3 separate regions of the Mus musculus genome follow, and all the other regions are reported to be linked to region 1. Evidence: microRNA targets listed by miRTarBase, many of them from high-throughput screens and not tested one by one. Region 1 holds a microRNA gene; each other region holds the end of a gene's coding sequence.

The links. The annotated mature microRNA mmu-miR-876-3p reads UAGUGGUUUACAAAGUAAUUCA and lies in region 1 at 1,581-1,602, opposite strand. An mRNA with a match to its seed (bases 2 to 7 or 8) in the 3' UTR can be bound and repressed. Matches are read on the target gene's strand: a 7mer-m8 pairs with bases 2 to 8, a 7mer-A1 pairs with bases 2 to 7 and ends in A, and an 8mer does both.
Region 2: miRTarBase lists Vldlr as a target of mmu-miR-876-3p. Seed matches in the 3' UTR shown: 7mer-m8 at 2,814-2,820.
Region 3: miRTarBase lists Plekha2 as a target of mmu-miR-876-3p. Seed matches in the 3' UTR shown: 7mer-m8 at 2,327-2,333 and 7mer-m8 at 2,065-2,071.

The regions. Positions count from the first base shown.
Region 1 is chr4:36,643,803-36,647,068 of GRCm38, forward strand. Mir876 (microRNA 876) reads right to left here and starts at 1,651; the gene lies at 1,571-1,651. The region is part of intron 2 of Lingo2 (leucine rich repeat and Ig domain containing 2); the gene reads right to left.
Region 2 is chr19:27,248,553-27,251,818 of GRCm38, forward strand. Vldlr (very low density lipoprotein receptor) reads left to right here. Exons shown (of 18, transcript NM_001161420.1): 18 at 553-3,266. The coding sequence ends at 588. All of the region lies in intron 3 of Gm35438 (a long non-coding RNA gene), which reads right to left. Among named protein-coding and RNA genes, the nearest start is that of Vldlr, 33 kb to the left of the region's middle.
Region 3 is chr8:25,039,749-25,043,014 of GRCm38, forward strand. Plekha2 (pleckstrin homology domain-containing, family A (phosphoinositide binding specific) member 2) reads right to left here. Exons shown (of 12, transcript NM_031257.3): 12 at 1-3,266. The coding sequence ends at 2,928. Among named protein-coding and RNA genes, the nearest start is that of Htra4, 2.4 kb to the left of the region's middle.

The sequences.
Region 1 (3,266 bases):
TAATGGAAAAACTTTTTGATTTGTTAGGACATTGTAATGATACCTAAACTTGTAAACAAGATGTATTAGCTCTAATATAGCAAGACAAAAATAACTTCAGAAGAGAAATAATAGATTGATTCAATGATGATTCATAAGTAATTTCAGAATCCTGTTCATTATCATTTAGGAATGTAATGGTGTCACAAGAAATCGGAGATAAATACAATCTATCACTACGAAAATCTTGTTGCCATATGACTGAGCTTAGATTACACCTAAGTTCTAGCCTTCAAATAGAAGAGCTCATATACCAAAACTAAACAAAATTTTTGGAGCTTATACCAGCGATTGAAAAACTAATGGTGAAAGGTTGGGTTTCTGTTTCTAGAATCAGCACATTTAACAACACTAATGAGGGTAATAACCATGAACTTCCTGTTGTTTCCCAGCAACTGGTAGGTAACATGATAGCAACTATACTCTTTAGCCTTGTGAAACTTACTCATTTTAAAGATTATTCTAACACTATGAGTATGTATATGAGTGCATCTGTGTGTGGGAACATGCACATTAGTGTAAGGTCCAACATAGGCCAATAGAGAGTGATAGAGAGTGTCAGATCTCTTCAGCTGAACTTATTGGTTTCTGTGATGCATATGATGCAGGTGTGCAGCAAATTGTACCCTGGTTCTCTTGATGCACAATCCAAGTTCTCAAACATTGACGATGGCTTTAGACTCTTACTAAATTTCTTTGCCATTAAAAGATGACAGAAGCTAAATTTGTAGAGAATTAATGATAAATAATGGCAAATTAAGTATACAATTTTGTATATTTTGGCTAATTCTGTGTCTGTATCATTTGAATAGTATTAAAATTTAGTTACTTTTAAAATTATTTTAAAATAATGATGTTTATAAATTCCCTGATTAATTTCTATTTGAATTGCATAATCAGTAAAGTCACTGGATAAGCTCTCTGTAAAAATGTTTCCTCTTTATTAATATATATATATATATATATATATATATATTTGTCCAAGTAATAGTAACAGAATTAAATTTCAAAATGTTTCACTTATAATTAATGGGTGCAGATGTCAATTCAGTGCTTTTGTTTTGGATCTACTGCATTTTTAAAAATAGGGCATACTGCCAATTGTTGGGGCAGGTGTTGCTAAAAAAAACAAGAACAGACTGTGCATAAATGTAAAATACACACACACACACAAACACACACACACATATATATGTGTGTGTGTATATATATATATATATACATATATATATATATATATATATATATATATATATATATATATGAGATATGAGATGGCCTGGCAATATGTAATAGGCAGTCCTCAAATGCTGCCATCCTCCTGCCTCAGCTTCTCAGGTGTTATATTACAAGCAAGTTACAATATATGTAGCTTAATTTTCCAGTGCTTGACATATCTTTGCTTCTTGTTCTCTAATTAACAAAGTAACTGTTTATGAAAGGTTTAAATCTTATAGCTTAAGGATTTGTTCTCAATGGCCCAATGAAGGATCCTAGGTTTCAAAATACAGATCAACTGTAGGAGCACCTGTGAAGCACTATGAATTACTTTGTAAACCACTACCACACTAGATTTGATATAGTGATTCACAGAGAAATCCATAGCACGTGACAGTTTATGTAATGCTTGTACACATGAACATAAAAATTATATGCTACCATGCCCAGAGTTTGAAAAATTATTCAAGACATCTTTTTATCGTTCATATGGCATTAAAATATAATTTAATTTAATTTTAACAACATTTGAGCAAGAGAATAAACATTCATGAATCAACAGGTTTTATATATATAGTATTATAATATATACATTTTTAATTGGTAAAATAATAAGAAACACTGAAAAAATCTGAAAAATACATAAAACCAAATTATACTTTCCGTATTATGTATCAAGGTAGATCAATTAGAGGAATGAGCAAGAACAACCAAGAGATGAAAGAGAAGTAAAATGCCCACTATGCTCATAGAATTGAGATATGGATATTAATATAACCTGTGGGAGGAGAGAAGTAAAATAAGGAATGACATTTCATACGTGCATCTCACATTACAACATACACATGATGTGGTTGTTTTGCTCTAAAAATAGTCTCAGTTAGCCTACATGTATTTTGCATAAGTTCTTAGATTTTATCTGATTTTTTTTCTATCTTAAGTTTGAGTTCTGCATGTGATTGGCTGAAACTCTCTGAGGCTACTTAAATATATGTTAGTTTCCTCACTAGGTTCAGCTTTGAGAAACAAAACAAAACAAAACACCAAAGTAACTGAAAAAAATCTCTAATGGGCACTGCTTTAATAAATTCACAGGAATGAAACATCTTTCGTTTTTCTCCTTTGTTATGTTTGCTTCAATGGTAACATTTATCTAAAGATTTAAAAGAAAACTAGAATTTTAATTTATGATCATTAAAAAGAAAATAATTTTTAAATTTTAATGGACTAGGATTATATCTCTCAGGCCATCTATGGATTTGAGAATTTTGACTTTTTGTATGTATACCATGAATGTCAATAATAATTAACATACAATATTTTTCAGAAATTTGCAAATCTAACATCTTAGTGTGTTCAAAACTGTCACTACATATCACTGTGCATTCCCAAGTAAAACAGGGAAGTAAGGCCAGACTGGCTGGCTAAGCAAGGAAAAACTTTAAGTGGAAAATAAATTGTAAAATTATTTACACATTCATATATACTTACCGTATGGCTGGTATATGACGTACATAATGCTTGCCAGGTATAAGGAAGTAAATGCAAACCCAATACATACCCTAGCTTCAAGAAACAGATAAAACAAAATAAATAAAACCAACAAGAACAATTGTGTTCCTTAAAAAGGGTCCACATAGATTGCTTTAGAGTCCACATTATCCAGTCATAGCAGGAGGTTTCTGTGAGAAATTACTTAGTTGAAAAATTGAAGGTACAATACAATTTAGCAATGAGGATAGGATTAGAACATTTGAAGCAGACGGGGCACATTAAAAACAGTAGAAAGAAGAAATTAAAATGTCATCTGTTCTCTGCTACACTACTGCTGAAAGTAGAAAATTACACAAAATTTAGATATAAGTGAAAACTAGCAAGCATGTCCAGATTGTAGACAACAAATGAGAGAAATTAGAAAATAAAGATACTAAGCAACATTAAGCCTGAGAAATGTGCATGACAGATGTGCATGGCAGATGTGCATGACAGATGTGCATGGGAGATGTGTA
Region 2 (3,266 bases), not on the chromosome of region 1:
ACTGAACCATGATGAACATGAACAGTGTCCTTGCATGATCTCTGGTGGAACAGGGAGTAAGGTTCAGTGCATATCATATATCTTTTCACATTTGTCTTTAAGATTTATAGTCCGTAAACAGAATCAGTCAAAGTTTTTTTCCAACCAAGTAGGTACAAGTTAAATATCCCATATTTAAAATACTTGGTGTCCAAAGTGTTCAGAGGGGCATGGATTTTGAAGTTTTTGCATACATAAGAAGTTTGAACACAAAATCCATTTGTTTTATATACACTTTACATGACATTTTGATGTATGTTCATTTTGACCACAACCAATAATATAAGGTTAGATGTAGAATTTTTCTTTTGTAGTGTCATGGTGATACTCAGAAGATTTCAGACTTGGAATCCCCTTTTGAATTTTAGATTTTCAGCTTGGGGTACATAAAAAAAATAATAATGTTATGTTTCTGACCTCCAACTCTTTTGGTCTTTAAATGGCCTACTCAAAAGCAAAGTCCACTCCGTAGAGTAACCGCCAAGCTCACCTGAACCTTTGTCTTCTCTGCAGATATCAGTTGTAAGCACAGATGATGATCTGGCTTGAGTTCTGAACAAATCTTGGTCTATGAGGTCTACACCAATAACACCCTACTCTGGAATGGTAACAGAGCCAGCGCTGAAGTCTCCTTTCTTCCTCCCATCTGGAAGAACATCAAGATATCTTTTTGTGGATCAAGTTTGAGTACTTGATCATTTTTATATTACTTTTGTAAATATTCTTGGCCACATTCTACTTCAGCTCTGGATGTGGTTACCAAGTATCTGTAACCCTTGAGCCCCTAGACAGTATTGCCATCTCTGGCCAAATATGCACTTTCCCTAGAAAGCCATATTCCAGCAATGAACCTTGTGCTATAGTGACTCCCACCTGTACATACATTGTATAGGCCACCTGTACATATCCCAGAGAACAATCACTATTCTTAAGCACTTTGAAGATATTTCTATGTAAATTATTGTAAACTTTTTCAATGGTTGGGACAATGGCAATAGGATAAAACGGGTTACTAAGATGAAATTGCCAAAAAAAAAAAAAAATTTGTAACTAATTTTGTACGTATGAATGAAATCTTTGACCTCTGTCGAGGTTTGCAAAGACTGACTTCAAACTACTGTACGTTTTTTTCAAGTGCTAAAAAAAAAATTAAACCAAGCAGCTTAACCATGGTTTTGATTATTCCTCTAAGATGAGCTTCTGGGAACAGTATCACCAAATGTCCCAAACATTTAAGCTAGAGTTAGTTCTTGATGTTGTATACCTAAGCCCATAATCGAGCTAGTATCTTGGATGGTATACAACCAAGAACCAGCTAAACAATTAGATACAGTTTAATATTTGTACCTCCAAATCTATCACTTCCTTCCTTCTTTCCTTCCTTCCTTTCTTCCCTTGCTGGCCTCAAGCTTGCAATGCTCCTGCCTCAGCCTCTCAACTTCTAGAATTACATGGCTGCACCACTTCACCCAGCCTATGTAGTTTTATTTTATAAATGACACTGTCTTCCAGAATTCCTTTCTTTAACAGATTTCTTTTTCTTACTTTTTTTCCCCATGATCTAGAAACACATGCCAAGATTCTCATGAGTTTTCTTACTTTGTCATCCATGTTCTTTTTCTATTTGTAGGTCAAAGACAAGTGCCTTCTATGGCATGGGAAAGGGCTTTATTCTTATAAGAGTCTGGCCTGTCTTAACTAGAAGACGGGTAGGAAGGATACTAGGTAGGCAGCGTTGCTGAACAATCTAAGTTGTGGTTCTTAGCCTGTCCCAGGAACAGCAGCATGGGAGGCTAGGAACTTAACAGAAATGAGGATTCTTGGTTCTCACCCCAAACCTACTTAATCAGAAACCCCAGTAATACAGACCAGAAAACAGTTTTCACAAATTCCTCATGTACTTTGAATATAACATAAAGTTCGACAAAATCTATTCTAATGTGGCTTTTTATGGAGGGTGTAACTGTAATGTATTCAAAATTGTCAGTGTGGTGGCATCAAATATGTAGAGATGGTCTTTCTGTGGAGAATTTGTGGAACTTTAGTGTGGAGAACAAAGAAGGAGTTGGAGATGAAAAAGTGGTACTGTGTCAAGGGAAGATTTTTGTGAGTTTTCCATCATGTTGGCCATCACATCCTGACTGAAGTCTCAAGATTCCTGGAAGTGAAGGAAGACACAAAGCTTAAAACTCAGATGAGATGCTCTGACTCCATCGTGAAGTGGTCACTGAAAAAAATGTTGCTGGTTTCTTGGGATGAAAGAACTGAGCCAGCATCTGAAAAAGATCATTTCATTTAAAAACAAAAACAAAAAACCTTGTCTCTTCTGTAAAAATCCAACATTAGGTAGAACTTGCTGTAATTTAAAAGTCACAAAGTCATTTATAAAAAATGAAGTGATTAAATATTGACCGAGTATTGTTGAGTATTGCTAGAGTAGCTAGTTATCTGGTGAGACTGCTAATTGATTCAGTGTATGATAGTTCACACGGGATGAGAACCTTGGCCTTTATCACCCAAACAAGAACTCTCTATGAGATTGGTTGACGTGAGTTGGTTGAGTCTCTGGAGCATCAGTTTTCAACTTCTGGATCGCAACCCCTTTGGGGGTGGGTAGGTCACATAACAGATATGCTGACTAACAGAGATTGCCATTATGATTTATAACAATATCAAATGTATAGTTATGAACTAGTTATGAAATAATCTTATGGTTGAGGGTCACCACAACATGAGGAACTATATTAAAGACTCGTGGCATTAGGAAGGTTGAGAACCACTTCTCTAGGGCTCAATGTATTAGATAACTCACTAAGGGGTAAAATATGAAATATCAAATCCTAAAAAGGATATTTATAATTAAAACAGCCTGTCATGAGGCAACTGTGAGTGGAACATCTGGGAATTTGAGAAGTATCTGCAAAGTATAGAAAAATCAACAGATTTGTGGACCCTGGTAAAGAAGTTCAGCCAAGTCTCAGTGAAAAATGTTAAGAAGTTGATGCAAGCTGCATGCTCCTTGTTAAGATGCAGGCTTTGCATATCACCAGGTCACTTAGAATATTCTAACAGTTACTCTGAAGATGTGTCATGATTTGTGAGCCTTTGGATCTGGGTAAATAGAGGACAAAACTAATTCTTTGAGGCTTTAACTTGGGCACTTGCCTTGATTCCTTTTATTATTGGAAGTCAGATACCCCCTCTCCAAAGTGAGCAGGCAGGTTTTA
Region 3 (3,266 bases), not on the chromosome of region 1:
TGTCACTCCGCCACTTTGACCAGAGGTGCCACTTTAGTTTGCGGTCTCCCATATCCTCGGTGTGGTTCGGAGAATGAAAAACACACGCTTCTTTTTTTTTTTTTTCCCCTGATTATCACCTGACCCGAGTAAGCAAGTCCACCAAAGCATTGAAGAGTAATGGATAGGACATACTTCAGCTACAGAGAACAATACCTTCGAAGCTTTATAGAAGGACCCAACCCCAGAGACTGCTTTTATTCCACACAGGAAATGCAGTATCTTTTATAATCCAGAAATCCCTTCGGATTTATCCACAATCTATGCTTAACCACAAACCCACACGCCATCACACCTTGAAAACTAAAGGTTTATGCACCATCTTTGGCTCACATTAAAATACTGTCCTAGGCTGGATATGGTGGCATAGACTTGTAATCCAAGCACTCAGGAGGCTGAGGCAGGAGGATTATCAGTTCAAAGCCAGCCTGGACTCCGTAGCAAGACTCTAGCAAAAAACAAATTTAAAGGGTGTGTGTATGTGTGTAAATACAGACAGAAGGGGAATTCTGAAACAAGAATTGAGACTTTAAATGTTTTGAGGCTTCACAAAGATAATTATATTTTCTGGGCACCGCTATTAACAATGTTCTAACTTGCAAGTCTCATGTATGGGCTGGTTAGGATCACTGAAACTGTACTTTTCCTTTGTTTGCATAATATACACCGCATTGTGTTTAACATGATCTCAGAGTGTGTACCGAAACCTCTCAACTTTCTGTAAGGACCCGTTGATGCAGCACTAATAACCAAGCCAACAGTTTCTAAGAGAGGGACAGACAGATTTTGCAATTTAAACGCCAAAAGATGACCTCATTTCCTTGAGCCAGGGCATGTTCGAGGCCCTTCAGGAGTTCCTGATTTATTTTTCATTCGTTCCTCATCTTCACATTGAGCAATTCTGTTGAGCAGCCAAAGAATTTTCTAGGGGAAGATTTTAAGCTGAAACCAGAGACAAAGGGCACTGACTTTTGAAGTAGGTTGTAACCTTATTCGCTCCTAAATAAATAATCCCCGAACCCTGAAAAACCAAAACACACAAAAGTTTTTTTTTTTTTTTTTTTTTTAGGGGATGGGAGACACACAAGATCATGAACAGAAAGAGAAAGAAGCCCACTGATTTTTGTTTGGTTTTCTTTTCATCAGGATCACAAGGCCAGACAAAGTCGGGGGACAGCTCCCACACACGGAGCCCAGAAGTCTTCAGTGTGGCACCAGATTCAGGGTCACAGTCACATTTGAAAGAGCATGCTTCCTCTCACCCGGAGAGCTTTATGCCTGTTTTTGCTTTTGCATTAACTATGGACACAGAGTGCTAACTAGCTTAAATAAAAAATGCCTCCTAGTCTCTTAGAGCTACAAATTTCTAATTAAAAACAGGGTTAATTTACCTAGCAGATAAAAGTTACACAGATAGGAATGAGCCATGACCTCTCTCCCTGTAGGAAATGGCCATAATTTTCTGGTAGCACAGTTCATTGAAGGCTGATAGAAATGACCCCAAAGGCACTGGAAATAGTATCTTGCCCAGTGGAAAAGCCATACCCTAAATTTTGGGTGGAAATCTAATCTTCTAAACTCTTCTAGAACCTAGGAAATTCCTAGCCAACAATTCATCCTCTGATTCAATTTCTTTATTCCCAGTTTCTATTCCATGAAAAATGTAAGTACTGGGGGGAAAAATCACATTTAAGTCTCTTCACTAGTGAGTGTATAGGCTCTTATCAGACGCTAGAGTTCCACCTGGTGTGTGCATGACTTCATTTAACAGGCAGTGCAATAAAGCAAAGAGCAAGTGGGCCAGCAGGCTGCACAGTATACAAGCACTTAGCATTACACAAAAGTCGACTGGCTATAAAAGAGCTGTGAGACAGGAATTCAAGATTCACTGTGCCAAGAAAGAGTCATTCTCCTGTCTGGAAAACATGGATCAAAGATGCTTATTGCAATAAACAACCATCCATCTCTTCTCAGTAGCTGCTTTATATTAATGTAAGCCTCTGAGAGAGAGATTGTCCTAACATGAGTGGTTTTCTCTCTCTCTCTCTCTCTCTCTCTCTCTCTCTCTCTCTCTCTCTTTCTCTCTCTTTCACACACACACACACACACACACACACACACCTCAGTTTCAAGGGAAGTCTCTGTTCTGGTCTCTGCAATCATAACATTTGACCCTGATAACCGCATATCCTCGGGACATGACACGGAAAATAGACTGGTGGCTCTGTCACTCAGTTCTATGTCATTTGGGGTCATGGAGCATCAAGAGGACGACATGATTCCTACAAGTGGTTATAGCAGTTTAATTAGCCCTCATGACTCACAAGAGGTCCTGTCTGCTCCCCTGGGAGGTATCCTGAAAGAACTGCCTGGGGGAGATATCCCAAAAATTCACCTTTCACTCCCCAGACTCTTACGACCGCTCTCAGATAGATCCCAATCGGAACTGTATAACCTGAGTCTCACCCGATGCCTGTCAGTCTGGATGCTAATGGTCTGACTGATCCCCAGACTTCAGTCAATAAACAGGGGTAGATGAAAGCAGTTCTTAGCCAGAGATCCTGTGCAAAACCAAGACTATAAAAGAAATACAAGAGGGAAAAGCTTATGGGTGAAACTGGACTCTAGCCTCCTCCAGACAGGAAGTATGAAAACTAACCCCTCACTAGGAAACCTGGGGAAATGGGGACATTCAAGAGGTAATAGAGTATGCCTGTGGGTCTAACCTAGTGGCTTTCCCCAGTTAAATAAATGGTGTCAATAATAGCAAAACCAAAGCCAGCTAGACGAGCCCCTCCACTGTGAGTGCCATTAGACTCTGTCCTCTACCATGGCAGAGAAAATAAGTCACAGCCCCTGGCTCTCCTGCACGCAACGGGCACTGCATATCACACATCAGAGGTTCGTATGTTTTCGTCATCAAGGTTGAATACAAATGGCTTCTCCTTGGGGTGCTGGGGCTCCGACCTGTGCCTGACTCGAGAACTTGCCAGCACCCCTGTAGCTGTGCTCTCCCCAGGGTTAGGCATGAATAGAGAGTCCTCTGGAGCATGCTCCACCGACAACGGCTTTTCCTCAGCCTGGGGGACAGGTGTCCAGGGTTGCCAGGAGGAGGCCACCGAAGGGGCCTTACAGAGACCTCTTTTCTCTTCTGCTGGTGGCCGCCTTCTTGACAAGATGGAGTTAGGCGCGCTTGTAAGGGTAGAACTTCCAGGTCGAGTCAAAGA